Rattus norvegicus: one gene and its partners. The main gene of each other region encodes a partner of the protein of the gene in region 4 in a complex. Links are inferred from orthologs where the notes say so. Each region holds a gene or a part of one and is shown on either strand. Other genes may lie near its edges.

Evidence for each region.
Region 1: Gtf2e2 (region 4) and Ercc2 share a complex: the UniProt entries of both Homo sapiens proteins name them as parts of the TBP-based Pol II pre-initiation complex. The link is inferred for Rattus norvegicus from reciprocal best matches to the Homo sapiens genes GTF2E2 and ERCC2.
Region 2: Gtf2e2 (region 4) and Gtf2f1 share a complex: the UniProt entries of both Homo sapiens proteins name them as parts of the TBP-based Pol II pre-initiation complex. The link is inferred for Rattus norvegicus from reciprocal best matches to the Homo sapiens genes GTF2E2 and GTF2F1.
Region 3: Gtf2e2 (region 4) and Gtf2f2 share a complex: the UniProt entries of both Homo sapiens proteins name them as parts of the TBP-based Pol II pre-initiation complex. The link is inferred for Rattus norvegicus from reciprocal best matches to the Homo sapiens genes GTF2E2 and GTF2F2.
Region 5: Gtf2e2 (region 4) and Polr2g share a complex: the UniProt entries of both Homo sapiens proteins name them as parts of the TBP-based Pol II pre-initiation complex. The link is inferred for Rattus norvegicus from reciprocal best matches to the Homo sapiens genes GTF2E2 and POLR2G.
Region 6: the proteins of Gtf2e2 (region 4) and Gtf2e1 are in contact, whole or in part, in a crystal structure (PDB 5GPY), measured with the Homo sapiens proteins. The link is inferred for Rattus norvegicus from reciprocal best matches to the Homo sapiens genes GTF2E2 and GTF2E1. Residues at the interface, in NP_002086.1 of Homo sapiens: Asp159, Gln160, Arg161, Gly162, Leu163, Gly164, Gly165, Leu167, Leu190, Val192, Asn193, Arg194, Pro195, Ile200, Phe202, Cys208, Gln209, Phe210, Ser211, Val212, Asp213, Glu215, Phe216, Gln217, Leu219, Trp220, Arg221, Val223, Thr224, Val225; in NP_005504.2 of Homo sapiens: Arg16, Lys19, Tyr20, Val21, Arg23, Gly24, Phe25, Tyr26, Ile28, Glu29, Leu32, Arg39, Leu51, Leu52, Lys53, Phe54, Asp55, Gln58, Gly68, Asp69, Lys70, Phe71, Lys73, Thr98, Asn101, Val102, Val103, Lys104, Tyr105, Lys106.

The regions. Positions count from the first base shown.
Region 1 is NC_086019.1:88,160,192-88,164,141, reverse strand, and holds the start of Ercc2 (general transcription and DNA repair factor IIH helicase subunit XPD), read right to left. Parts: upstream 2,801-3,950; 5' UTR 2,771-2,800; coding exon 2,766-2,770; intron 2,551-2,765; coding exon 2,451-2,550; intron 1-2,450. UniProt on the Homo sapiens protein: ATP-dependent 5'-3' DNA helicase. Component of the general transcription and DNA repair factor IIH (TFIIH) core complex, not absolutely essential for minimal transcription in vitro.
Region 2 is NC_086027.1:1,937,398-1,941,327, forward strand, and holds the start of Gtf2f1 (general transcription factor IIF subunit 1), read right to left. Parts: upstream 2,801-3,930; 5' UTR 2,675-2,800; coding exon 2,663-2,674; intron 2,577-2,662; coding exon 2,530-2,576; intron 1,274-2,529; coding exon 1,201-1,273; intron 1-1,200. UniProt on the Homo sapiens protein: TFIIF is a general transcription initiation factor that binds to RNA polymerase II and helps to recruit it to the initiation complex in collaboration with TFIIB. It promotes transcription elongation.
Region 3 is NC_086033.1:57,733,678-57,737,671, reverse strand, and holds the start of Gtf2f2 (general transcription factor IIF subunit 2), read left to right. Parts: upstream 1-1,194; 5' UTR 1,195-1,306; coding exon 1,307-1,372; intron 1,373-3,994. UniProt on the Homo sapiens protein: TFIIF is a general transcription initiation factor that binds to RNA polymerase II and helps to recruit it to the initiation complex in collaboration with TFIIB.
Region 4 is NC_086034.1:65,124,802-65,128,301, forward strand, and holds part of Gtf2e2 (transcription initiation factor IIE subunit beta), read right to left. Parts: exon of another isoform or gene 3,411-3,500; coding exon of another isoform or gene 3,345-3,410; intron 356-3,344; coding exon 248-355; intron 1-247. UniProt on the Homo sapiens protein: Recruits TFIIH to the initiation complex and stimulates the RNA polymerase II C-terminal domain kinase and DNA-dependent ATPase activities of TFIIH. Both TFIIH and TFIIE are required for promoter clearance by RNA polymerase.
Region 5 is NC_086019.1:215,118,857-215,123,078, forward strand, and holds the start of Polr2g (DNA-directed RNA polymerase II subunit RPB7), read right to left. Parts: upstream 2,801-4,222; 5' UTR 2,727-2,800; coding exon 2,715-2,726; intron 2,603-2,714; exon of another isoform or gene 2,600-2,602; coding exon 2,490-2,599; exon of another isoform or gene 1,885-2,489; coding exon 1,725-1,884; exon of another isoform or gene 719-1,724; coding exon 668-718; exon of another isoform or gene 560-667; coding exon 494-559; exon of another isoform or gene 411-493; coding exon 339-410; exon of another isoform or gene 1-338. UniProt on the Homo sapiens protein: Core component of RNA polymerase II (Pol II), a DNA-dependent RNA polymerase which synthesizes mRNA precursors and many functional non-coding RNAs using the four ribonucleoside triphosphates as substrates.
Region 6 is NC_086029.1:76,686,435-76,690,631, reverse strand, and holds the start of Gtf2e1 (general transcription factor IIE subunit 1), read right to left. Parts: upstream 2,801-4,197; 5' UTR 2,705-2,800; intron 2,666-2,704; exon of another isoform or gene 2,527-2,665; intron 2,147-2,526; exon of another isoform or gene 1,569-2,146; intron 1-1,568. Other genes in the region: Rabl3 (rab-like protein 3), read left to right, coding at 2,967-3,012.

The sequences.
Region 1 (3,950 bases), on a different chromosome or scaffold from region 4:
CCCCACTCCTCCTTTTTTGCTGGACTTTACTTACATTTCAAATGTTATTCCCTTTCCCGGTTTCCTATCCATAAACCCCCATCCCCTCCCCGCCTCCCTCATACGGGTATTCTCCCCATCCATCCCCCTTACTGCCACCTCCCCCATATTCCCCTGAACTGGGGGTCCAACTCTGGCAAGGGCTTCCCCTTCCACTGGTGCCCCAACAAGGCTATTCTCTGCTACATATGCAGTTGGAGCCCTGGGTCAGTCCATGTATAGTCTTTGGGTAGTGGTTTAGTCCCTGAAAGATGTAGTTGGTTGGCATTGTTGTTCTTTATTTTTATTTATTTATTTTTTTAAGGTTTATTTATTGTGTATATAGTGTTCTGCCTGAATATACTCCAGAAGAGGGCGCCAAGATCACATTACAGATGGTTGTGAGCCACCATGTGGTTGCTGGGAATTGAACTCAGGACCTCTGGAAGAGCAGACAGTGCTCTTAACCACTGAGCCATCTCTCCAGCCCGGCATTGTTGTTCTTATGGGGTTGCAATCTCCTTCTTCTAATTCCCCCCAAGGGGGTCCTGTTCTCAGTTCAGTGGTCTGCTGCTAGCACTGACTTCTGTACTGGACATGGTCTGGATGTTTCTAAATTTTTCATTTTTTTTTTCGGAGCTGGGGACCGAACCCAGGACCTTGCACTTGCTAGGCAAGCGCTCTACCACTGAGCTAAATCCCCAAGCCCTAAATTTTTCATTCTTTTTTTTTTTTTTTTTTGGTTCTTTTTTTCGGAGCTGGGGACCGAACCCAGGACCTTGTGCTTCCTAGGTAAGCGCTCTACCACTGAGCTAAATCCCCAGCCCCTAAATTTTTCATTCTTAATCCCCACCTATACCCCAAGGGCCTGGCTAGCCTAGTACTTACTATGAACCTCTGGCTGGCTGCAAACGTTTGGCAGTCTTGTTGCCTCCACTTTCTGAGTACTGGGATTACAGGCTGAACCTTATTTCTGTGTCCCTCCTACTGACACAGCTAACGAGTTTACTGAGCAGCAGACAGGAGGAACCTTTACCTCTCTGGACTGCAACATCCTTGCTTCTATAGGCCTTACTTGGAGCAAGGTTGTGAGGACGAATACATTTGTGGGCCAGCAATATGGCTTAGCTGGTAAAGGCGCCTGTGGTCAAGCCTGATCACCCGAGTTCAATCCCCAAGACCAACTCCTCTACCCTCCACATGCACACCATAGCATGTATACACACATTCCAAGTAAGTATAATTAAAAACTTTTTTAAAAAATAAGTTTCTGGGGTTGGGGATTTAGCTCAGTGGTAGAGCACTTGCCTAGCAAGCACAAGGCCCTGGGTTTGGTCCCCAGCTCTGAAAAAAAGAATAAAAAAAAAAAAATAAGTTTGTGTTCAGGGCTGTTGAAATAGCTCAGCAGGTAAAGGTGCTCCCACCAAGCCTAACAGCCTGAGTTTGATCCCTAGAACCCACATTAAAGTGGAGGATATCTGGGTGGTGTTGGTGCATGCCTTTGATCCCAGCACTTGGGAGGCAGAGTCAGGTGGATCTCTGAGTTTGAGGTCAACCTGGGCTATGCATTGAGTTCCAGGAGAGCCAGGGAAACCCTGTCTCAAAACCCAAAACGAAACAAAAGTGGAAGGAAAAACCAACTCCACAAAGTTGCCCTCTGATCTCCACATATGGAATCCTTCCCTCCACTACTGTGACTGCCAGGAACACCTCTACACAGACCAATCAGCCTCTGCCCGTCAGCGTGATTAAAACCTGTCACTCAAGCTACCTAAGAACCTAAGGCAGGAGGATTGCTAAGATGAAGTGCTGTGCCATCTTGATGGCCCTTATCTTTTTAAAGGTCGGGCTACACAGCCCTGGCTAGCCTGGAACTCACCCAGACTGGCTGCAAACCTCCACTTTTCCTCCCACCTCAGCCTCCTCAGGGCTAGGGTTCCAGGTATGCATCATCTTATGCCGTGTTAATTTGGTGTTGGGATTTGGGCACACTAAGCAAGTATTCTACCAACTGAGCTATAACCGACTCTCCCCTATTAGCTAAATGTTTTTGGAAACAGTCTCCCTATATATAGTCCTAGCTAGCCTGGAACTCACTATGAAACTCAGGCTGTCTTTCAAACTCGAGAAATCTTTCCTGAGCCTCCCGGCTCCGGGAATTACAAACATATTGTAATTACTGTCCCATTCAATTTATGCGGTGCCAAAATGGAACCCAGAGTTTCATCCATGGTAGCTAGGCAAGACCCTACCAACTGGGCTCCTAGTCCTGCTAATTACATTTGTTGTTTAGTACACAGTCTCGCTGTACAGACCCGGCTGGCCTCCAAACTCGCAGCGATGCTCCTGCCTGGGTTTTCAGGGTGCGGGATAGCAAGGATGTTAGCCTGCGGGAGCCACCAGAGTGCCAGGAGAACGGCCTCACCACACACCTTGGCGTCGAGCGTGCGCTTGAGCTCCAGCATGTAGGAGAACTGCTCCGGGTAGATGTAGTCGTACGGGAAGTAGACCAGCAGCCCATCCACGTTGAGCCTGGCGGCGACGAGGCGTCGGTGCCTGGTGCTCTCGAGCCGCCCCGGCCTCCGCGCCGCCCGCCCGCCTCCGTGGCGTCTCCCCGCCACGGACCCCGAAGCCACCCGGACCGGTCTCCGTAGCCTCTCCACGCCGCGACCTGGCCCCGGCTACACCCACCGGCCGCCCCATCGCCCACCGCAGTGCCGACCACTCTTCCCGAGACCCCATCTCACTTCATGGCGGCTTGTCCCGGCGTCCACTCGCCCGCCTCCTGAATATTCAACGAGGGGGCGTGACCTAGAGCACCACCTTCCTCGCGATGCCATTGGCTGAGTCTTCCCGTCATTCCTCCAATCGGAAAACTGGCGCGTGCGCATAGCGGTGAGAGGGCGGACTCCGGAGAGAAGCGGTGCCCAAGGCATCGCTGAGGATCGCCGAAGACTTCGAACAGAACACAGAAAGTAGAATGTCGAGAGAATCGTTACAGTTCATTGACGTTTGCTCCTCCTGGTTCTGTCCTGGTTGTCCAAGTCGGGAATAGAGTTTAGGAGAAAATAACAGAGGAATTGGAAGCTGTTCGGAGCCTTTAAGTTACAAAGGCGAGATTGTACCAGACAAGCACGATTTATAAAATACTGGTATCCAAACTTAAGACAGGAAACCTAAAAACAGCTCCTCCTATTTATTGAACTCTTACTCTAGCAAGATTCTACCACGTGTTTTTTAAGCATTCATTAATATGGGCTGGAGAGATGACTCAGATATTAAAGCTTAGGCTCACAAACAAACAAACAAAAATGCATTAATTAAGGGCCTGGAGGAACCGCTCCGTAGTTAAAAGCACTTTCTGATCTTGAAGAGGATTAGGGTTTCCAGCCCCCACCCCCCCACCTCCAAATCAGGCAGCTTACGATCGATCACCTTTAGGACTAGCTCCATGGAATCCAATACCTCTGGCCTATGGAAGGAAGAGGAAATCTGCAGAATTTGGTTCAGCTCTTTCCTTCCACCATGTGTGGGAATTGAACTCAGGTCAAAAGACAATGGCGGTTTACCTCATGAATCTTCTCATGAACCCTTCCTGCTCTCTTTTTTTTTTTTTTAAGATTTATTTATTTATTTTATGTGAGTACACTGTCACTGCCTTCAGACACACCAGAAGAGGGCATCGGATCCCATTACAGATGGTTATAAGCCACCATGTGGTTGCTGGGATTTGAACTCAGGACCTCTGGAAGAGCAGTCATTGCTCTTAACCACTGAGCCATCTCTCCAGCCCCCTCCTGCTCTCTTTTGAGACTGTCTCACTATGTAACCCAAACTGGTCCGGAGGAGCTCACTCTGTAGCCTGGGCTTCCCCCCAACCCCCCACCCCTACTCGTGACTCACCCACCTCAGACTCCTGAGGGTCAGGATAG
Region 2 (3,930 bases), on a different chromosome or scaffold from region 4:
CATAAAGTATAGCCTGCAAAAGGACTGAGGCTTGAGTTCAAGCCCTAGGACCCACACAGCATAAAGTGAGAACCGACTCCTGCAAACTCTTCTCTGATCTCAACTCTGCATCCCTCACACACCTGTGGCCCAACAGATGTCATTTTAATAATAAGGTGTAGAGTGACTATGGAAGACAGCTGATGTCCACTCTAGCCTTGACATGCACAGCATGCCCACATGCACATATGCACACACACACGACTCTGGTCATGAGGAATGTGGGACTTACAACAGTAAAACAGACTGGTCCATGAGATCACGGAGACCACCCGAGGAAGGCTCAGGAGCAACCCAGACAATATGGAAATAGTAACATTTTAACATGACACCCAGAATACTGGGTAGTTTAAAACTTTGGCCTTTAACACTTTTTTCCTCTTAGTATTATCTAGAGAATCCTGTTATGTAGCTCAGGCTGTTCAAACTTATGATCCTCCTGCTTCCACCTCCCTGGTGCTGGGATGCTAGTATCCCTGGCTGTACCCATCTTGTGGTATGGTTTTATCCTTTCGAGACAGGGTCTCACTGTATAGGCAGTCTGCTCTGAAGCCCACTGTGCAGACCAGGCTGGCCTCAAAGTCAGAGATCCACTGACTCTGCTGCCAAGAACTGGCATTAAAGGTATGTGTCACTATGGCCTGCTGGCTTTATCTTAAAAACAAACACTCCAAACTTATAAAATGCATTTGTTTTTGTACATGACATGGCCTGCTTGTCATCTTGTTACCCGTTACTTTACTTTATAGTATACATATAGACATGGTCTATATATATATATATATATCCGGGGCTTCACTCAAGCTCACTATGTAGCCAAGGATGGTCTTCAATTTGAGATCCTATCCCCTTTCCCATGCTGGATAACAGGCGTGTGCCAGCCAACATGCCCATTATACATGGCGCTGGTGGTCCCCCTGGCCTCCTATATGCCAGATGAGTGCTCCATCAATTGAACCGTACCCTCAGGCTAGCTTCTTCTCTTTGAGATAGGATTTATTTAGTATAGGCTGGTCTAAAACACTCAGTCTTTCTACCTCAGCCACCAAATAGCTGGAATCACAGGTCTGCTGGGGCTACAGGTGTGGGCACTACTGTTTCAGTAAAGTCACCAGCCCAGGGTTAGGTCTCTGCCCCAGACACCCAGAGGCATACACTTACCTGGTTCCAGGTAGCAAAGTTGACTTTATCAGCTGCATTAAAAGCCATTATGTTGTATCTTTTGGCTGTGTTCCTGGAATGGGCAAGAAACTATTCAATCCATCGATTAGCCATTCAACAAATCTACGATTTACACCCTTGGTTGTAGGTAATTCTGGGAACTCAAAAAAGACTCGGGAACAATGGTCCTCAACCTTCCTAAAGCTATGACCCCTAATACCCCTATGACCCCCTCATGCTGTAGTGACCCAACCATAAAATTATTTTTGTTAGTTCATAACTGTAAGCTTGCTACTATCATGATTCATAATGTAAATATCTGTGTTTTCTGATGGACTTAGGCGACCCACAGGTTGAAAACCACTGCTCCAGTTTCTCAGGGATTTTTTAATTTTGTTTTTGTTTTGTTTTTTTTAAAGACTCCATCTCATCCAACCCCATATAAAGATCCATAGGCACCAGGCACTCTCACAACACACATCTATATACACACAGGCATACACAGAGATAACACTAAATCCTTAAGAAAAAAATGAACCGGGGGCTGGAGAGATGGCTCAGTGGTTAAGAGCACTGACTGCTCTTCCAGAGGTCCTGAGTTCAAATCCCAGCAACCACATGGTAGCTCACAACCATCTGTAATGAGATCTGATGCCCTCTTCTGGTGTGTCTGAACAGCTACAGTGTACTTATATATAATAAATAAATAAATCTTTAAAAAAAAAAAAGAAAAAAGAAAAAAATGAACCAAAGGTGTAGAGAACCTTTATGTAGAGAGGAAGGCAGGCAGGCAAGGGCTGGAGGTGAATGGGTCTTAGTGGGTTTCAAAGTCAGCCTGGTCAAACCGGCTAGACTACACAGTAAAACTGTGTCTTCAAAATAAACAAAAAAATAAAAGGGGACTAGGTGTAGATCAGTGGTACAGTGCTTGCCTACCACAGGCCCACCTAAGATAAAATTAGAAGTTGAGGGCCATGGCACTTGGCACAGAAAGCAGGATGTGTACTACTTGTGACCAGTTTGGAATTTTGTTTTATTTTGAGACAGGCTCTCACGATATGTAGCCCTGGCTGGTCTGGAACTCCCTCTATAGACCTGGCTGACCGCGAACTCAAAGAAATTCTCTTGTTTCTGCCTCCCAAGTGCTGAGATTAAAGGCAGCCACCATGTCTGGCCTGACCAGTCTGAAACAGGACAGAGTCACAGACCCTAACATTAACTACCAAGATTTACCAAGACATATTACTATGTCTTGGACGCGGCAGTAGGGCCAGCGTGGCAGGGGAACACAGGGCCGAGGTTCTAAAGTGTGGATGGACGGGGACTTACTTGGGGACTCGGACGACGTACTCAGTGACATTCTGGCTGCTGGAGCCCTGCAAAAGAACAGGAGTCTGTAAGGCGAGAAGAGGGCGCGGGGTCTGTTTTGCGACACCTCCATCCCCACCTCATTCATACTTACTAGAGCCGCCATGGCCGTTGCTCAAGCTGCTCCGGGTCGGCCAGACCTGGATGGTCTTGGTTGTGTCCCTCGGACCCAGGGAAAGCACCTTTCCTGGTTGTCACGTTAGTGTGATCCTGTGCTTTGGATTTCCAAACCCTTAAGTCTCCTAGAATGCTGGAAGACGAGAAAAAAAAGAGACTTAGAACGCTGCGCATGCGCCACAGCCTGACCCGGAAGTAGAACTGCCACACGGAGACGAGAGCTACCACTGTACCTAGTCTGTGTCTTCTCCAGCTTCTGAGCGAAATAAAGCTGCTTTCTCCCAGTGTTCTCTTTTACATCACGGATAACTTATAATCACGTGAGAATACGTCACTTCGTGACGTCAAGACGCGGGCAACGTGGAGCATCTTGGGTAGGGTGGGAATGGAGTCTTCTGGTGTTCGCGTCCTCGGTACTCTCGCGCAAGCGTAAATGTCCAAGAAGCGGGAGCGGAGGCCGCGTTGCCATGGCAACCGAGGCTCGCTCTGTGGAATGGCCTCCGGGGCTCTTCTGGGGTGGGTCTGAGATTCCGTTTTCTTTTGTGTCCTGGAGTCAGGGGATCCCGAGGATCTTGCAAAATGAGTCCCTTGTGACGTAAAGCGGAGCCGAGGAGTCGTTGCAGGGCAGAGACCCGGCCCCGGCGTACCCCAGCATTGCGGGCGGGATGGGTCTGTGCGAGTCCACGCTGCCCCAGCTGGGCAGAGCTTTACGGCCCCAGGAGAAGGGTAACAACATGGGGTAGTTGGTCTACATGAGGCAACGGAAGGGGGCGGTGGGCAGGTATCCCACCACCTGATTGTGCACACCAACCCTTGCACGACAGGAACGCATCTGCACATGCTCCCACCCCACCATTGGTTGATGCCTTTGGAATATAACTTGAGTAGAGGAGCCAGTGTCAGAGATGGAAAGTACAATTCTCGGGGGAGGAATCAGAAAAAGGGAGCCTGTGGGACTCATAGGAGTTGGGACCCTCAGAGGGTCAAGGGTGGTACAGACATTGAACCTGAGAAGGATGAGATATGGTGATTCCATGTTAGTCTTTACAGAACCATAAACAACTGACTCCACTGATGTATCTAGTAGCGGAGACATTCATTTCTTCACTTTCGGGGAGCGCACCGTGAGTTACAAAGGCTGGTTAGGAAGACTAAAGGGAGTCAAAAAGGACAAAGAACAAAGAACCATGACTGTGAAGGAGAGGAAAGGGTTGTGTGACTAGAGGCACAAGCAGGCAGGATAGA
Region 3 (3,994 bases), on a different chromosome or scaffold from region 4:
CTTTGTTTCTTTTCTACTTGTCTTTGTTTATAAGTAGACGTTTGCCAAATGATAGGGCCAGAAAAGGACGGGGCGGGGGGAGTATCTAAGGCACAGGTGTTGGTTTCAAAGAGGTAGTGAAATGGTAGGAGGAAGGGCCTGGAGTCTTCATGTAGGTGGATGGGATTGGTGTGGAATCCTGTGTGGAATTGTGAGAATAGGAGGATCAAACTGAGAGGACCCAGTAAAACACAGGGTAGAATTTCATTCCAAAGGCAAGTGCCAGAGGAAATTACCAAATGAAGACTCAGGAGGCAGAAGCTGTGATGAAAGCTGGCAAGCTCAGAGAGGCAGAGAAAGCACCCAGCTGACCTTCCTACTCTACCAGCTCTCCATGCACTCTCCAACACCCTTCAACTCAAAGTGCCTCCTTTCTCTTGCTTATGTTCACTCTCTGTCAGTTGGTTACTTGCTCTGCCTCTTGATCTAGGGTTGACTTTATTTAGCTCTGGGACCGAGGTGTGCGCACCAATACTGTTCCAGGCCACAAATACTTGTTTACAGTAAACAGAAAGTTCTGGGATCAAAGGCTGAGCCACAGTTATTAGCAGATTCTTCCAGTTCACAATCTCAGAGTTCATAGTGTGATTAAATATCCTGCAACAGGAAACTGTTTAAGCAGGGCAGTTAAATAATCAGATTTATTTCTTGCGTGGTGGGTCTTACTGACCCAAATAGATGGCATTTGGGCTTTGGCGTCTGAAAGAGTGTATTCTTCTTGCACCGTGTGAACTTATTTTTAAGTCTCGAAAAGGCATGTGTCCAGCATACTCACTTGTACCTTAGTGCCCACTTGTGCCAATGACATTGGGCCAAGAAAGTGACTTTTACCCCTAAGTCTGTCCTTTAAATGCCTAGCCTCTTCAGCTAGGGTTGGGTATGAATACATACAGTTTTTGTCTGTCTTAACCTTTTTTCCCCCATTTTTGGCACCTTTTCTTTAAATGCACTACTCAGGATTTGGTTTTTCCTTTCTGCACTTGGGTCTCAGGTTTGCATGTTGGCAGGAGTCACACCCACCTGAGAAATTGCGGAAGCAGGAAATTTGTCCCTCGCGGGACGCTGTCCGGACGTACCGTGCGCAGGCGCACTTCTTCATTCAGCGGCGTGTTCCTCTCGTCTTAAGTTTCTAGTTCCCGGCCGGTGAGCCACTCCGGCTTTTCGCGGTCTACTTGTCCCAGCGTCCGGCTCTGGACTGTCTATCGCTCTCTGACGTTCAGTCCCGGGTCGCTGCTTGTGCGCGCACGCCGCCTCACACGACAAACTTATGGCGGAGCGCGGGGAACTCGATCTGACGGGCGCCAAACAGAACACCGGCGTGTGGCTGGTGAAGGTGAGACGCGAGCCCCACGGGGCGCTTCCGAAAGTTCTGGGTCTGTCTTTCCCGGGCCACCGCTGTTCTGAGAAGCGGGTCGCTGTTGCGCCTGTTTGCAGGTTGGAGAACTTACTTTAGGGGCCACAGGGCATCTTTCAGTCTGTCTGTCAATTTCATCCGCCCACCATAGAACTCTGTTTACCGCCAAGACCTGGCCTTCCTGATGTTCCCGAGAAAGCAGTAAATTTTACCCCATGCCGGAAAAGCCCTTGCGGGTTTGTTTGTTTGTTTGTTTTTTGTCTTTGTTTTGGTAAGGTTAACTTTAGTCATGAATGTGTATAAATTAGGTGAGTAGATACACAGTTTTCTGGACCACAAAGTGGAACTGGTCCCTGTGAACTTTTGCTGTTTTGTTTTGAAACAGAATCTCTCTCTCTCTCTCTCTCTCTCTCTCTCTCTCTCTCTCTCTCTCTTCTCTTCTCTTCTCTTCTCTTCTCTTCTCTTCTCTTCTCTCTTTCTCTCTGTCTCTGTCTCTGTCTCTGTCTCTGTCTCTGTCTCTCTCTCTCTCTCTGCTGGTCTGGAAGACTTCTGTCGCTTTACACTGGTAAAGTGTTCCCTGAGTTGGTAATCCAATTGGAGTTTTCCACTGGTAAAGTGTTCCCTGAGTTGGTAATCCAATTGGAGTTTTCGAAAGACCTGGAAGTTCCGAATTCAAAGAGAAGTTTGTTGACTTAGTGTTTTTAAAGAGCGAGTTTAGGTTTCATGAAACTTAACCATCAGTAAATGTTTTAAACGGACACGTGCCAGGCTTTGTTTGCCCCAGTGGTCACCATCTATTTGGGTTACATTTTTTATATGGACTGGGGGACTATTACTCTGTGGGAAATCTCGTTTTAAAAAGCCGTATTTAAATGGGATCATCAACGTTTCCCAAAGTTGGTTTATCAATGATTTATCTTTATAGTGAGTGTCAATGTTTTAAGCACATGGCTGAGTTCTCATCAAGACAAGGTGTCTTTTCCTGTCCATTACTCTGAACAGCTCCCGTTTGCCAGTTCTGCAGACCATGTTAAGTTTTTCAAACCATTTAACAGTTTCTGGTGATTCTTTGTACCTGTACCCAGTGTTGATTGCCTCCACCTCCAAGTCACTTTCTTTGCACTTTGATTAGTGTTTGGCACATATTACTTTCCCAGTGTGTGATGAATATAAGAAATTGAAAAGGCTGTATATCAGAGAGACACAAAACTAAAGTGGGTGGGGGTTAGTCTTCTCAGTTTCATCAGATTAAGAGCTTATGCAGTTAGTGAAGCACACCTTTGGGTGTGTTTGTGGTGCTGTTTTCTGGAGGCAAAGTAGGTCATGAGGGCTATGATCTAATTAAGGGATTAGTTACTCCTTAGGTGGATTTGTAATATGGCGTCTCTGGGAAGTAGTGAAAGGTGGTGAGGTGAGGGCCTAGTTGGAAGAGGTAGATACTGGCGGTATGTTCTTAGGGCTGCCCTGGCCCTGTCTATATCTTCTCTATATCGTGGCCATTGCGATGTGAGCTTGCAGTGCTCCTCCTCGCTTTTCCACAGATAGAGACTAAGATACCCAGTGCAAAATAAATCTTTAATTGTTTCTGTCAGATATTTGGTCACAGTGACTAAAGTCTGATTAATACAAATAATACAGCAGAGGGTTGTAAGTAACAGGAGAAAAGAAAACCTACTCTCTTCCTTTCCTCTCCCTTCCCTTCTCTCCCTGTCTTTTCATCTTTCCCTTTCTCATTCTCTTCCTTTCTGTAGTTCAGGCTGGCCTGGAACTCACTGTGTAACCCAGGCTGGCCTTAAACTCATGGTAATCCTCCACCTCTGTGCGTTTAGAGCATCTGTGCTTCTTGCGTATTTATGTTAGATAAATAAAGCAGAGCTATCAAGTAGGTGCTCCTGTGGTGCTGCACACCTTTAATCTGAGTGCTTGAGAGGTTAGCCTGGTCTACATTTGTGAGTCAGGGGAATGTAGTAAGACCCAGAAGCCAGAAGAGGGCATTGGATCTCCTGGTACTACCGTTATAGCTGGTTATGAACTGCCATGTGGGTGCTGGGAGTCAAACCTAGGTCCTCTGGAAGAGCAGCCAGTACTTTTAATGCTGGGCCGTTTTTCCAGCTCCCATCAAACTTAAATATTCAAACCATTAAAAATTTCACACGCTATTTTGAGATACGCTGCCCACAATCTCACCTAGCTTTATTTCTGAGTCGTATCAGTATCCCTGGGTTCAGTTTTCATATCTGTAGACGGGGGAGAGTACATTTGAGTTTGAAAAGAGATTGAGGGGATGAATTTCCGATGTCTACAAGGTGTCTGACAGAATTGTCTCCTCAGCCTTCCTCTTTTCCAGCCTCCGGCATATCATCTGACACCCTTTGGTAGTCCAGTAAGTTAATATGATGAACTTACACAGAATCGAATACATAACAACCAGTCTTTCTTACTCCTTTTTTAAAACCATAACTGTAGTCAAGGTACTGCCCCACTCCCCCAGCCCCCATAATCTTGTTTCCCCTTTGCAGCCCCAACAGCTGTGTCTCAGTCCTGTATTCATTGTGATCATGTTATTATTCTGAGATTACTATGAGACAACTGGCACTCAAT
Region 4 (3,500 bases):
GATTTATTTAAAGAACAAAGAAACACTCGGAGCCAAGCATGGTGACTCTTGAAGCTAAAGCAGAGTGCCCTGAGTCCGAAGTCAACACACACTACGAAAGACCCTGCGTTGCCTGCCTGCCTGCCTCCCTCCCCCACTCACACACACACACATACACACACACACACACACACACACACACACACACACACACCTCTAGATAGATGTAGCAAATACCCATTTTTACAAGTTTTAAGAGTCGTCTTACCTCTGTCATTAGCCATTGTTTCTGCTTGAGTCCAATGTCTAAGTGCTGTGTTTCATCCAAAATCTCTTCCAGAGTTAAGGGATGCGTATCTCCTCGCTGATGTCGTGTCTGTAGAGGAAAGTTTTATATGTAAACTGATATAAACTGATCTTTTCAGGAATATACAACATGTAATATCTGAGGCAGTATGACTACCAGGATCAACAACATGAAATCATACAAAACCAGATTGGTAAAAAGTCAAACGATAAACTAACAAGGAAAAACATCAGTTTTCCAACTTTAAGCCAGGTATGGGAGTACACACCTGTAACCGCAGTATGTGGGATGCTTAGGCAAGAGAGTCCTAAGTTGAAGACCAGCCTAGGCGAAATGATGACTTCAAGTCTAGCCTAATCTACATAAAAGTTCAAAACTGATAGAGGGTACATAACAAGATGAAGATGTATTGATCTGGAAGAGGAGGATGACAGCAAAAACAGACTTTCCTTTTTTTTTTTTTTTTGGATCTTTTTTTCGGAGCTGGGGACCAAACCCCGGGCCTTGCGCTTCCTAGGTAAGCGCTCTACCACTGAGCTAAATCCCCAGCCCCAAAAACAGACTTTCCTAGTTATTGCAAATCAATTAAACAAAACTTGCAGGAAACCATAGATAACAGAAAAAGAAATTCAAATGTCCTTAAACATAAACAGACAACTCGCCAAGATGCTTCTCACGATCAGATAGAAAACTATGAATGTCTGATGCGTCATAGGAAATAGGCTTTCTCACTGACTATCACAATATAAAGTACCTCGACCCTTACAGGAAACAAAATGCACTCTTAACAGCATGACCATTGGTGAGGACTAATTTAGCTACAGCACAATAAATGCTATATAGTTGTTTTCTTTTAAACAGGAAGTTGTCTGTGTGGCCATTTCACTATTGGACCATAGTCGTACGCTCATGCTTCAAGAAAAGGTCACCTCTAGTGTCCTCCACTGTGGTAAAAGGGATGGGCTGGACACAAACAATGAGATCACCGATGGCAACTTCCGTAAGTAGATCCAAAAGCTGATCAGGGATAGACTGTACACACACACACACACACACACACACATATATATTGCCAACTTATGAATGCCAAAGGTGGTAACCCAGAGGTGGGGGATGTGGCTCCTGAACGGGCCTCTCAGAAGACAGTGAGATTCTAAGATTAATCCAGTCACCGCGCTGTGCACCTGGATGTTAAGGGAAATGTGTTCTAAAGTAAGTGGCTTCTCATGGGACACATCCATCTAAAAGGTGAACAAGATACCACAGGGATAAGACAGCAGGATTAAGGACTGAGAATGACTTGTGTCTCAATCTTTTCATATTATTCTATATTTTATATTTATTCTGTATTTTCAAAGGTCTTATACCTGTCTTTTCTGTGTACATTTTAGTATGGTGTGTGTGTGTGTGTGGGTGTGTGCGCGCGTGCGGGCGCGCGGGCGCGCGGGCGCGCCCCTGCGTGGCTCACACATGCACGCACATATCTGCTAGCACTTTCTCTGAGGTTCTCACTTCTTGCTGTAAAATCACTGTGTTGATTTGAATAGTCAGGACCCCGAAGACTCATGTGTTTGAATGTTTGGCCCATGGGGAATGGCACTATTTGGAGGTGTGGCCTTGGAAGGAAGTGTGTCACTGGAGGGGAGGGGGAGGGGGAGGACTTTTCTCAAAGTCTCCTATGCTTAAACTCTGTCCACTACGGAACTCATCTTCTCTCTTGCCTTCTGGATCAAGATGGGATTAAGATGTAGAACTCTTGGCTCCTTCAGTACCGTATCTGCCTGGATGCATGATAATGAACTGACCTCTGACACTGTAAATCAATTAAATGTTTGCCTTTATAAGAGTAGCACTGATTATGGTGTCTCTTGAAGCAATGAACTACAACAATCCCTGCATCTACCTCGGTTGCCCTATAACTCTCCTTGAACTTTCCATAGTTTTTAGTGAGCAACTAAAGAGGTCTACTGCAAGTATTTGTGATGTTATATTTACCTATTTTGCTTTTGAAGTTCCTTTTATAGATCCTCTAAAAGGAGAGAAACAGGACAACTGACAAACCTTGCCAGTTTACAAGTTACTTTCTATTAGATATGCACACTTGCCCTTTAAAAACAGGCCTTAGGAGAAAGGAGGGAGAAAGGAAGAAGGGATACAGCCCGCTTCCACTCACAATTTGCAAGGGTTTTGCTTAAATTCAGGCACATTCAATCTTTTGACACTATGACACAGTTGTCATCTACAAAGTCCATACACCAGACCTTGCAACAAAGATAAAATAACAAAAAACTGTTTAAAAAGAAAATCTAATATAGCTCAGTGAGCAGAGTGCCTGCCCAGCACACATACAGCCTAACTAGGCATGGCACCACACCCATAACCCTAGCACTGGGAGCTCAGGGAGCTGGGGACAGGAGGGTCAAAGCCATCCTCTAGACAGTGAACTGAGGCCAGCCTAAAGTGGTGCTCAGTAATAAAAGATGATTGCTTAGCATGCACAAAACCCAGAGTTTGATCACCAACACTGTCCTCCCATGCCTCCACACAGACACAGGGCACTTTGGCCCTACCTACAACACTCCAAATTCTCATATACTTTGTAAAACTGATCGGCTCCCCTTTTAAACAACTTCTCCTCTTCTAATCCTAACGTACTTCAACTCCATTCAGTATTATCCAAGAGTGCACTGTTCTCAGGAAAGTGTGAGATAAAAAACAAAGAGAATAACACCCCCAATCCAAATATTTAAATCTAAGTAATTTTCTTCAGGACTCCCAAAGTTCATTCCTTAACTATTAATTTTGGGGAAAAATGTATATTTAAAGAGCTAAAGCGGGGCTGGGGATTTAGCTCAGTGGTAGAGCGCTTACCTAGGAAGCGCAAGGCCCTGGGTTCGGTCCCCAGCTCCAAAAAAAAGAACCAAAAAAAAAAAAAAAAAAAAAAAGAGCTAAAGCAGTATCTACTGGGAAGCCATTTCCTTTAAGTAACAAAAATATTTACTAGGACTACCAAGCTGTTCTAATTATGCTACGTAAAAACCCATTAAGTGGTATATACCTTTAATCCCAGAGGCAGAAGATCTCTGTGAGTTCCAGGCCATCCAGAACAACATGGTAAGACCATGTCTTTAAAAATTAAAAATAGGGGTTGGGGATTTAGCTCAGTGGTAGAGCGCTTGCCTAGGAAGCGCAAGGCCCTGGGTTCGATCCCCAG
Region 5 (4,222 bases), on a different chromosome or scaffold from region 4:
ATTCCGAGCCTTCTGTCATCTATTCCCTGCTCATGGACACAGAGCACAGAGCCCCCAACAACTGTGGATGGCAAGAGGTCAACAGCGCAGATGGGGAAAGAGCTTGCTCCAACCCTGATGACCTGACCTCCACCCCCAAAATCCACAGCAGCATGCGATGACCTGAAGGCGGTCTAAATGTCACACTGTGGCGAGTGTGTATGCCCACACATCCACATAAATATGTTCTACAAAAGAAACGAGAAACCCACAGCTGTCAGCTGTGAATGATGACTTTGGATTATTTATAATCCTACTACCCAGGAGGCTAAGGCAGGCCAGTCAAGCAAGAGACTCACAATGTCATTCTTGTCTACACGTGTCCCTACAATCTTCAAGCGTATCTCATCGTCCTGCTGAATTACAATGTCCTGTGGAAAGGAGAGAGCAGGGTCATCAAGCAGACTCAGGCCTGGTCCTCATCCCTCTCACCAACTCCTCCTCATTCGCTCACCTCATCCATGGTCTTGTAACAAGGGGGGTTCGAATTTGGATCAAACTCCATCTCTGAAGGGATGGACTAGAAGGAAATTGACACAAAGGTTAGCATTTCAAATAGCTGCATCAAAGGATGAGAGTCAGGGGCTGGTTTCTCCTCCTCGGCCTCACCCCACACGCCCAGACTCACGTGTCGAGAGATGAAGCAGGACATGGGCCCAATTTCTGTGAAAAGTCCAACCTAGAAGGAAAATGACCGTGCTTCAAACGCTCTGAAGCATCTTTACCTGATTTCTAGGCACATTATTCATGTTTCTTAACAGTTTAAATTGTAGCATTTGTTTTAATTTCTCTCTGTGTAATCTTTCATTTCTTTACATTTTTGTTCTTCATTATTTTTATGTGTAAGAATATTCTGACCTCACATGTGCCTGTGCACCATGTACCTGCAGTGCCCATGGAAGCCAGGAGAGGGTATTGGGACCCTGCAGAATTAGGAGTTACAGATTATTGTGAGCCATTGGCTGGGTGCTGGGAGTCAAACCCAGGTCTTATAGAACCAGTAGGTGCTCTAAACCACTGAGCTATAGACCCCTTAGCCTTTAAGAAACTTAATTTCTGAGGCTAGAGAGATAGCTCAGTGGTTAAGAGCACTGACTGCTCTTCCATGGGTCCTGAGTTCAATTCCCAGCAACCACATGGTGGCTCACAACCATCTGTAATGAGATCTGATGCCCTCTTCTGGTGTGTCTGAAGAGAGCTACAGAGGAGTGTGTATAATAAATAAATCAGGGGCTAGAGAGATGGCTCAGCGGTTAAGAGCACTGATTGCTCTTCCAATGATCATGAGTTCAATTCTCAGCAATCACATAGTGGCTCATAATCATCTGTAATGGGATCTGATGCCCTCTTCTGATGTGTCTGAAGACAACAGTGTACTCATATAAATAAAAATAAACAAACAAACCTTAAAAAAAAAAAAAAAAAAAAGAAAAGAAAACCCAAAACTAAGATAAAATAAAATAAATCTTGACAACCACAAAAGGCTTAAGGCAACTAATAAGTGGACTGGGAATTGAACTCTCACCTTAGGAAATACCCCGTAACCTTTCTTTTTTTTTTTTTTTTTTTTCTTCTTTTTTTTCGGAGCTGAGGACCGAACCCAGGACCTTGCACTTCCTAGGCAAGCGCTCTACCACTGAGCCAAATCCCCAACCCCATAACCTTTCTATAAATAATACTCTTACCTTGTTGACCTGAGTGACCACAGCATCCACCACTTCCCCTTTAAAGGGCCGGAAAACAATAGCTTTGTATTTCACTGGATAAAGAACAAAACCTCGGCCCGGCTGGATCACACCAGCACCAATATTGTCGATGGTAGTGACAGCAATCACAAAGCCATATCTGCAGGAAAGATGAAAAAAGACAGCTACTGTATGTGAAGAGCCTCTAAAAAGCCACCAGCAATAGTCTGCGTGTGATGGAACCTCTGCTCGAACAGCTCGATGACCAAGAAGAGACAGAACTCAGATTAGCACCTGAAATATTAAATGGTGCTCTCACAATTGTACAGTAAATGCCCAAGAAGGCACAGATATGCTGACATACACCTATTCTCTCAGTACCAGGACTTGCCAGGTCAGTGGTGAGACAGGTCTTTCGAAAACCACAAATCAGACAGAAAATTGTGACGAAAACCTTTAATCCCAGCACTCAGTGGCAGGCAGTTCTCTGAATTAGAGGCCAGCTTGGTCCACATAGTGAGGCCATCTCGAAACCCAAAACATTTGCATAATAACGGTCTGATCTCGCATAAGCGAAGAAAATTTGGTTTAGCAACCTTTTAGAAGGCCCAAAATAGGCAAAAACTGGCTGCTTCGGATGCCTGGAGTGGTGAAAGAGTTCCTCAGAGTAAGTAACAAGCCCTGACTGAAGGAGTGAAGTAGAGGTTACAGAGTAGCGTTATTGTGCCTGCATTCAGCAGACGACACTGTGAATCAGACACTTACTTCCCAGTGCAGGTCCCCTCCACCTCGGTGAACAGCTTCTGCTTCACCGTGTTGAGCAAGTTGGGACCAAAGTAGCGTGGGTGCAGTAGGATCTCGTGCTCCAGGGAAATCTGCAGAGAAAGGAAGATGAAGACTCCGCCAGCCACACTGAGAACAGGAGGCGACCCGTCGGCCCTCCAGGCTCCTCCTGTCCCTGCCCTCACCGCTACCCCGCGTCCAGCTCACATGATAAAACATCTTCTGCAGAAGCTTGGACCGCAGAGGCCAGAACTCCCCAGGAAGGGACCTCGCCGGAAGCACTAGCAGAAGTCCCACCAAGTCTCCGCAGTCGCTTCCGCAGATTTGAGTCTTAACGCCATGGGCGGGGAAACGTGAAGCCCCGCCCCTCAGGCCTTCCCATCAGCGCTCATCAGCACAGCCAGGATTACACAGAAAAACCCGGTCTCGAAAAACCTTAAAAAAAAAAAAAAAAAAAAAAAAAAAAGGTTAAGAGGTCTGGCTTGTCGCCACATGCCTTTAAACCCAGCCGTGGCAGACAGATCTCTAAATTCAAGGCTAAGCCACATCTACAAAGTGAGTTCCAGGATAACCAAGACTGTGTATACAAACCCTATAAAAAAATTTGTTTTTGGGGTTGGGGATTTGGCTCAGAGGTAGAGCGCTTGCCTAGCAACCGCAAGGCCCTGGGTTCGGTCCCCAGCTCCGAAAAAGAGAAAAAAAAATTGTTTTTTAAATTTTATTTTAGGGGCTGAAGAATTAGCTCAGTCCTTAAGAGCACTTGCCAGCCCCCACAGGATAGCTCACAATCTTATCTGTAACTACAGTTCAGAGAGAACTGACACCCTCTTCTGGCTTCATTCAGCACTGCATGCTAGTGGTACACAGACATAATGCAGGCAGAACACCGATGCTTGTAAAATAAAAATAAAGATGAGGTAGTTGGGGAGATTGCTCAACAGTTAAAATCAATGGTTGCTCCTCCGAAGGATCCAGGTTTGATTCCTAGAACAAACATGGTAACTCAACTAGCTATATTTCAATCCTAGGGGATCCAGTGCCATCTGGGGCCTCCATGGACACTTCTCCCTTGTGGTGAACAGGCATAGATACAGCCAGAACATTCATACATATAAAATAAAAATAAAGGTTTTTACACATAAAATAAAAATAAAGCTCTCGAAGAGGACCTGAGTTCAATTACTAACACTGCACCCGAGGTCTCACAACTCCAGCTCGAAGGGGATCTGAAACTTTCTCATTGCCTCAGGAGGTACCAGCACTTGTGGGCTTGTACTCACATACAGATAACAGACATCATTGAGTACACCTAATTAAGAAGAAGTCACTTGGAAGTGTGGCACACGCCTTAAATCCCAATATTCAGGAACAAAAGGCAGGTGGGTCTTCAAGTTCAAGGCCAACCTGGTCTACAGCATGAGTTCCAGAACAGCCAGGGATACATTAAAAATGAAGGTGTCGGGGTTGGGGATTTAGCTCAGCGGTAGAGCGCTTGCCTAGCAAGTGCAAGGCCCTGGGTTCGGTCCCCAGCTCCGGAAAAAAAAAATGAAAGTGTCTTGTTAAACAAAACAAAAAGACAACAAGCAAAAAGATTACTTATGTGGGCACGCACTGGGCTTACTTTCTTTTCTATTTGAGGGACGGTTTTATTATGTGACCATGGATGACCTGAGATTTGCTTTGTAGAGTAAGCTTGCCCTGAACTTTTTTTTCCC
Region 6 (4,197 bases), on a different chromosome or scaffold from region 4:
GAACTCTCAAGTAACCAATCCTATCAGACTTTATGCTTTATCCTGTAAGAAATGTTATAATATCCGCAGTATATTCTAAATAAGCAGTGTACACGTGTATAAGGTCATATCTACAATAAGGGGAAAATATAAAGAAAGTTTAGACTACAGTACTCAGGCACAACACTGTAGATACAGCACTGTAATACTCAGATACACAGCGATAACCAGACAGCACCTGGATTTACTGGTCTAAACCTTACAGCCCCAGAGCCTTTCTGTCACCCAAATATTTAAGTATGTCTGGGTTCACTGCCACATCAGAATCCCAGTATGGTACCAGATACATTTTGATCTCCTTTCCAATTTTTTCTACACAAGGTACTTTCAAACCACATTTTGCTTTCTGCAAACTCAGCAGCTGACAGAATAGAACATAATGGCTTCAGAAACATGCAAAAGACCAAAGGGCAGACGAATGCCAGCATAGCCTATTGTTTTCTGTATTCCTTTCCACTGCTTTACTCCTCTCTAGCCCAGGCGCAGACACTGTATGGTCCAGACATTGGTTATCAACCCTGACTGTAAAGCAGTCACCGAGGCAGCATTTTTAAGCATCCTAACACTAACACATAAAACATTCCCAAGAGTTGTTTCAGCTATTTCAGAAGGGTCGGATTAGGAGCACTGCTACTTTTAAAATCCCTATAGATTGCTCTACTGTCCCGTGGCCATACCATTGTGGATCCTGCTAATAGTGAACATCTGCATGGGGAGGACCCAGTGCCTATTGTTCGGTCTGTTTCCTGTCTGATACTCCTCAGGTCAATACAAAGGAACCATATCCAGACTCTTCCAGCCAATAGTCTGAAGCTTGGAAATCCCAGGTCAGTTTCTTGGTGTTAGCCCCAGAAAATCCATAGTCTCTTCACATATAAAATGATTAAAGAGCCTTTCTCACACAGTTAATATATGAATTAAATCAAATAACTAACAGAACACATCTGCTTCTGGGCTGGCATATGAGTTCACCTGAAGTACTGACATTCAGAACACACCCTGCCCCCATCTAACTGACGTGTATGCCAGTGAGCTGGTTTGAAAGTGTTAGCATTATGATTGTATCAGGAGCTGTGGCATAAAACCTAAACCTAGGAAGAAAGGGAGGGATTGCAAGGACAAGATAAATGAAATTTGTTACAGAAACAAAATAGAAAGATTCCAACAATATACTGAGGAAAAAAAAAAAAACTTGACACAAGTGCCTGTGTCAAGCCATAAGGAGGAACTGTGCACAAGAAATAGAAAACATCTTAAAGAGAACTAACTCTTATAGACCCGAGGCAGGGCCATCCACTTTCAGAAGTGTCTTTGACAAAATACCATCCTCCCTGGAAGACTCACACAAGGCAGCTCAATCTCTGGGTTTCTTAAAGCCCCTTAAATCAAGTTCTGAAATTGACAGCCCGTGTGGGATGTTTTCAACATTTTATGAATTGGTTGTCAACAATTAAAAATCTTGGTGCCTATAAATCTCCTCTTGCAGATCCGAAGTAAATGACAAAAGTGGGCCCACGTTACTGCATTACCTAGTCTCTAGGGGAAGTGACTCTCAAGAAAGCAACTTCTCTGTCTATGGAGACTTCTTGGTAGGGTAGCTACTGGTCTTCATTATCTTCTTTTTACATCTCACAACTTCACTTTACCCAGTCCAGACCTAGATTCTAATTGTAAAAACATGTAAGGACTACTGTGCCCCTGGTTTGGAATTGAGAGAATCAATAGTTGAAACCACTCTGCTTTTAGCATAACCATCCTCATATCCACCCACCAGTTCCCTCCGTCCTCAAAGCTAAGCCCAAACCTTTCTCCTACCCTCCTTGGGCATTGAGTAACGTTTCCTGGCCTTCCCAAATCCCCAACAGTAACATCTAATGCTCTCCCTCACACTTCCTCAGAATCTGGGCAGTTTCTACCTCTATGACCAGAGACTTCATCTTGTTCAATGCTACCGCCTAGCATAAACTACTCAGAGACTTAAATCCAACTTTCAATACATCCTCTGGGCACGTGTTCTTGTACTATACCCATCCTGCCAGCTTCTACACAAATCACTTGTTTCACACCTGCATCCCAGTAATGAGAGCTATAAGCCATTCTTCTTACTTTTAATTTAACTTGTAATTGCTTTAAGCAAGGAGTTCCTAGATTAAACGTGTGATATTTGAAAAACCATACTGGATGAAAAGTAAGGGATAAAAGAACAAAGTGGGTGCAGGAAGCCCTTTTAGTTAAGACTATTTTAAAACACTACCTCTCAGGTTCTAAAAGAACGTGGATTCTACAGAGCCTCTACAGTTTTCTGTTACTGTATTTTACGAATTCTCCATCCCTTCGTCCTTTAAGGGGTCCACGACGGAGACAGCTCTGGACCGAGGTGGCTCCACCAGCTGTGTTCAGACGTGTCCAAACCCTGAGACCCCACAGTCCCTCAGACGCGCCCAGGGGCTTCCTGGGCCACACTTGACGCCACCAAGCCCGTCCTACCCGAAGTCGCACATGGGCCGCTCCGGGGCAATGGTTCTTTGGAAGACTAAGAACAGGACCAAAGCAAGAGGTGGCCGAGGAGAGGGGACTAGAAAAGGAGAGGGGCAGATAGGAGGAGCCATGAAATAAGCCACGCCGGGTCAGAAACCGGGAACAAGGAGCAGGGAATGAGGTTTACCCAAATGGATGCTCGAACACTCCCACTACAGCCGCCCTCAGCACCTCAACTACCGGCTTCAGCCAGCCCACGCCACTTGCGAGACAAGGACGAACGCTTAATTCCTGCGACCAGTTTGGAAACCGCCCGTTAATCCGCACAGCGAAGCTTTCGATCAGTCACGTTCTGACCGACCAATAAGATGATATGCCCTGCCCACAAGCCCTGCTCGGATTGGTGAGAATCCAGGAAGGGGCGTCAACCTCAAGGAAATCGTGGCAAGATGGCGTCCCTGGATCGAGTGAAGGTTCTGGTATTGGGAGACTCAGGTGAGCAGCTTAACCCGCGTCTGGGACTACCGACGAGCCCGAGCTTCCAGATACCCCCTCACATTTCGTATTTTTACCCACCAACTTCCTAGCGCTTGGGTCCACGGCTGAAATTCCTTTCAAGACCTTAAAACTACACTTCCCAGAGGACTTTGCTCCTTTTGTCGACGTGGTGGCGTGGCGGGAGGTGGGGGCGCAGAGCCCCGGTCTTTCTGTCTTTCTGGTGGTCTCCCAGGCAACCCCAACCTAGAGTCTACTGTCAATTCCTTTATTGCTCTTGTTAAGCAAACAGAACTTGATGCGATCGCGCCTTCAGGAAACTTTGTTCATTGAGTCAAATATACACTAAGAATACACTGACCTGTATTAACAACTTTAATTCTAAAATCAGACTTTTAACTCCATTCTACAGATGAAAACTATGAGAGGAACTGGTTCGAATCCACAGTAGCACGCAGTGAGATGTTAATTAGATGGATTTTACTTTTAATTACTTTCTACATACCTGAGAACTGAACCTGGGTCTCTTGTGCAACAAGAGATGCTCACTGAACCATCTTTCCAGCTGTTCCACCGCAAGCTTTGTTGTTGGGGAGTGGGGTTGTAGGGTAAGACATGGTCACACTAATTAGTCAGGACTAATGTAGAACTGACTATGCATGTCAAGCTGGTCTAGAACTCACTATATAAACAAGGCAGGCCTAAAACTAATATACACCTACCCCTGCCACCAACCTTCTTTTTAAAGACAAGCTCTCCCCTTGGCCTGGAGAATAGGCTAAGGCTGTCAGGCCAGCAAACATCAGGGATTGCTTATCTCTGCCTCCCCAGCACTGATGTACAGACATAGGCCTCTATACCTGGCCGCTGTGTGTCACTTCTGTGGACACAACTCGGGATCTCAAGCTTGTAGGGCCAGCACTGAGCCCCAGGTGATTCCTTTGTTTGTTTGTAAGTACACTTTGTATATGATCACAGTAACAACATGGTCATAGAAAAACATCATGTGGTCTAAGGTGAATTTTGCTTTTTATACCTTCTCAGTTGTTGAAAATAGCATTTTTATAATAAAACATAAGTAGGGATGATATGTGTGTGTGTGTATAAATTATAGCACACAAAGAGATTTCCTAGGTTTTTTATATAATTAACTACAGACAGTTAAATGAATGAGTGACTCCACAG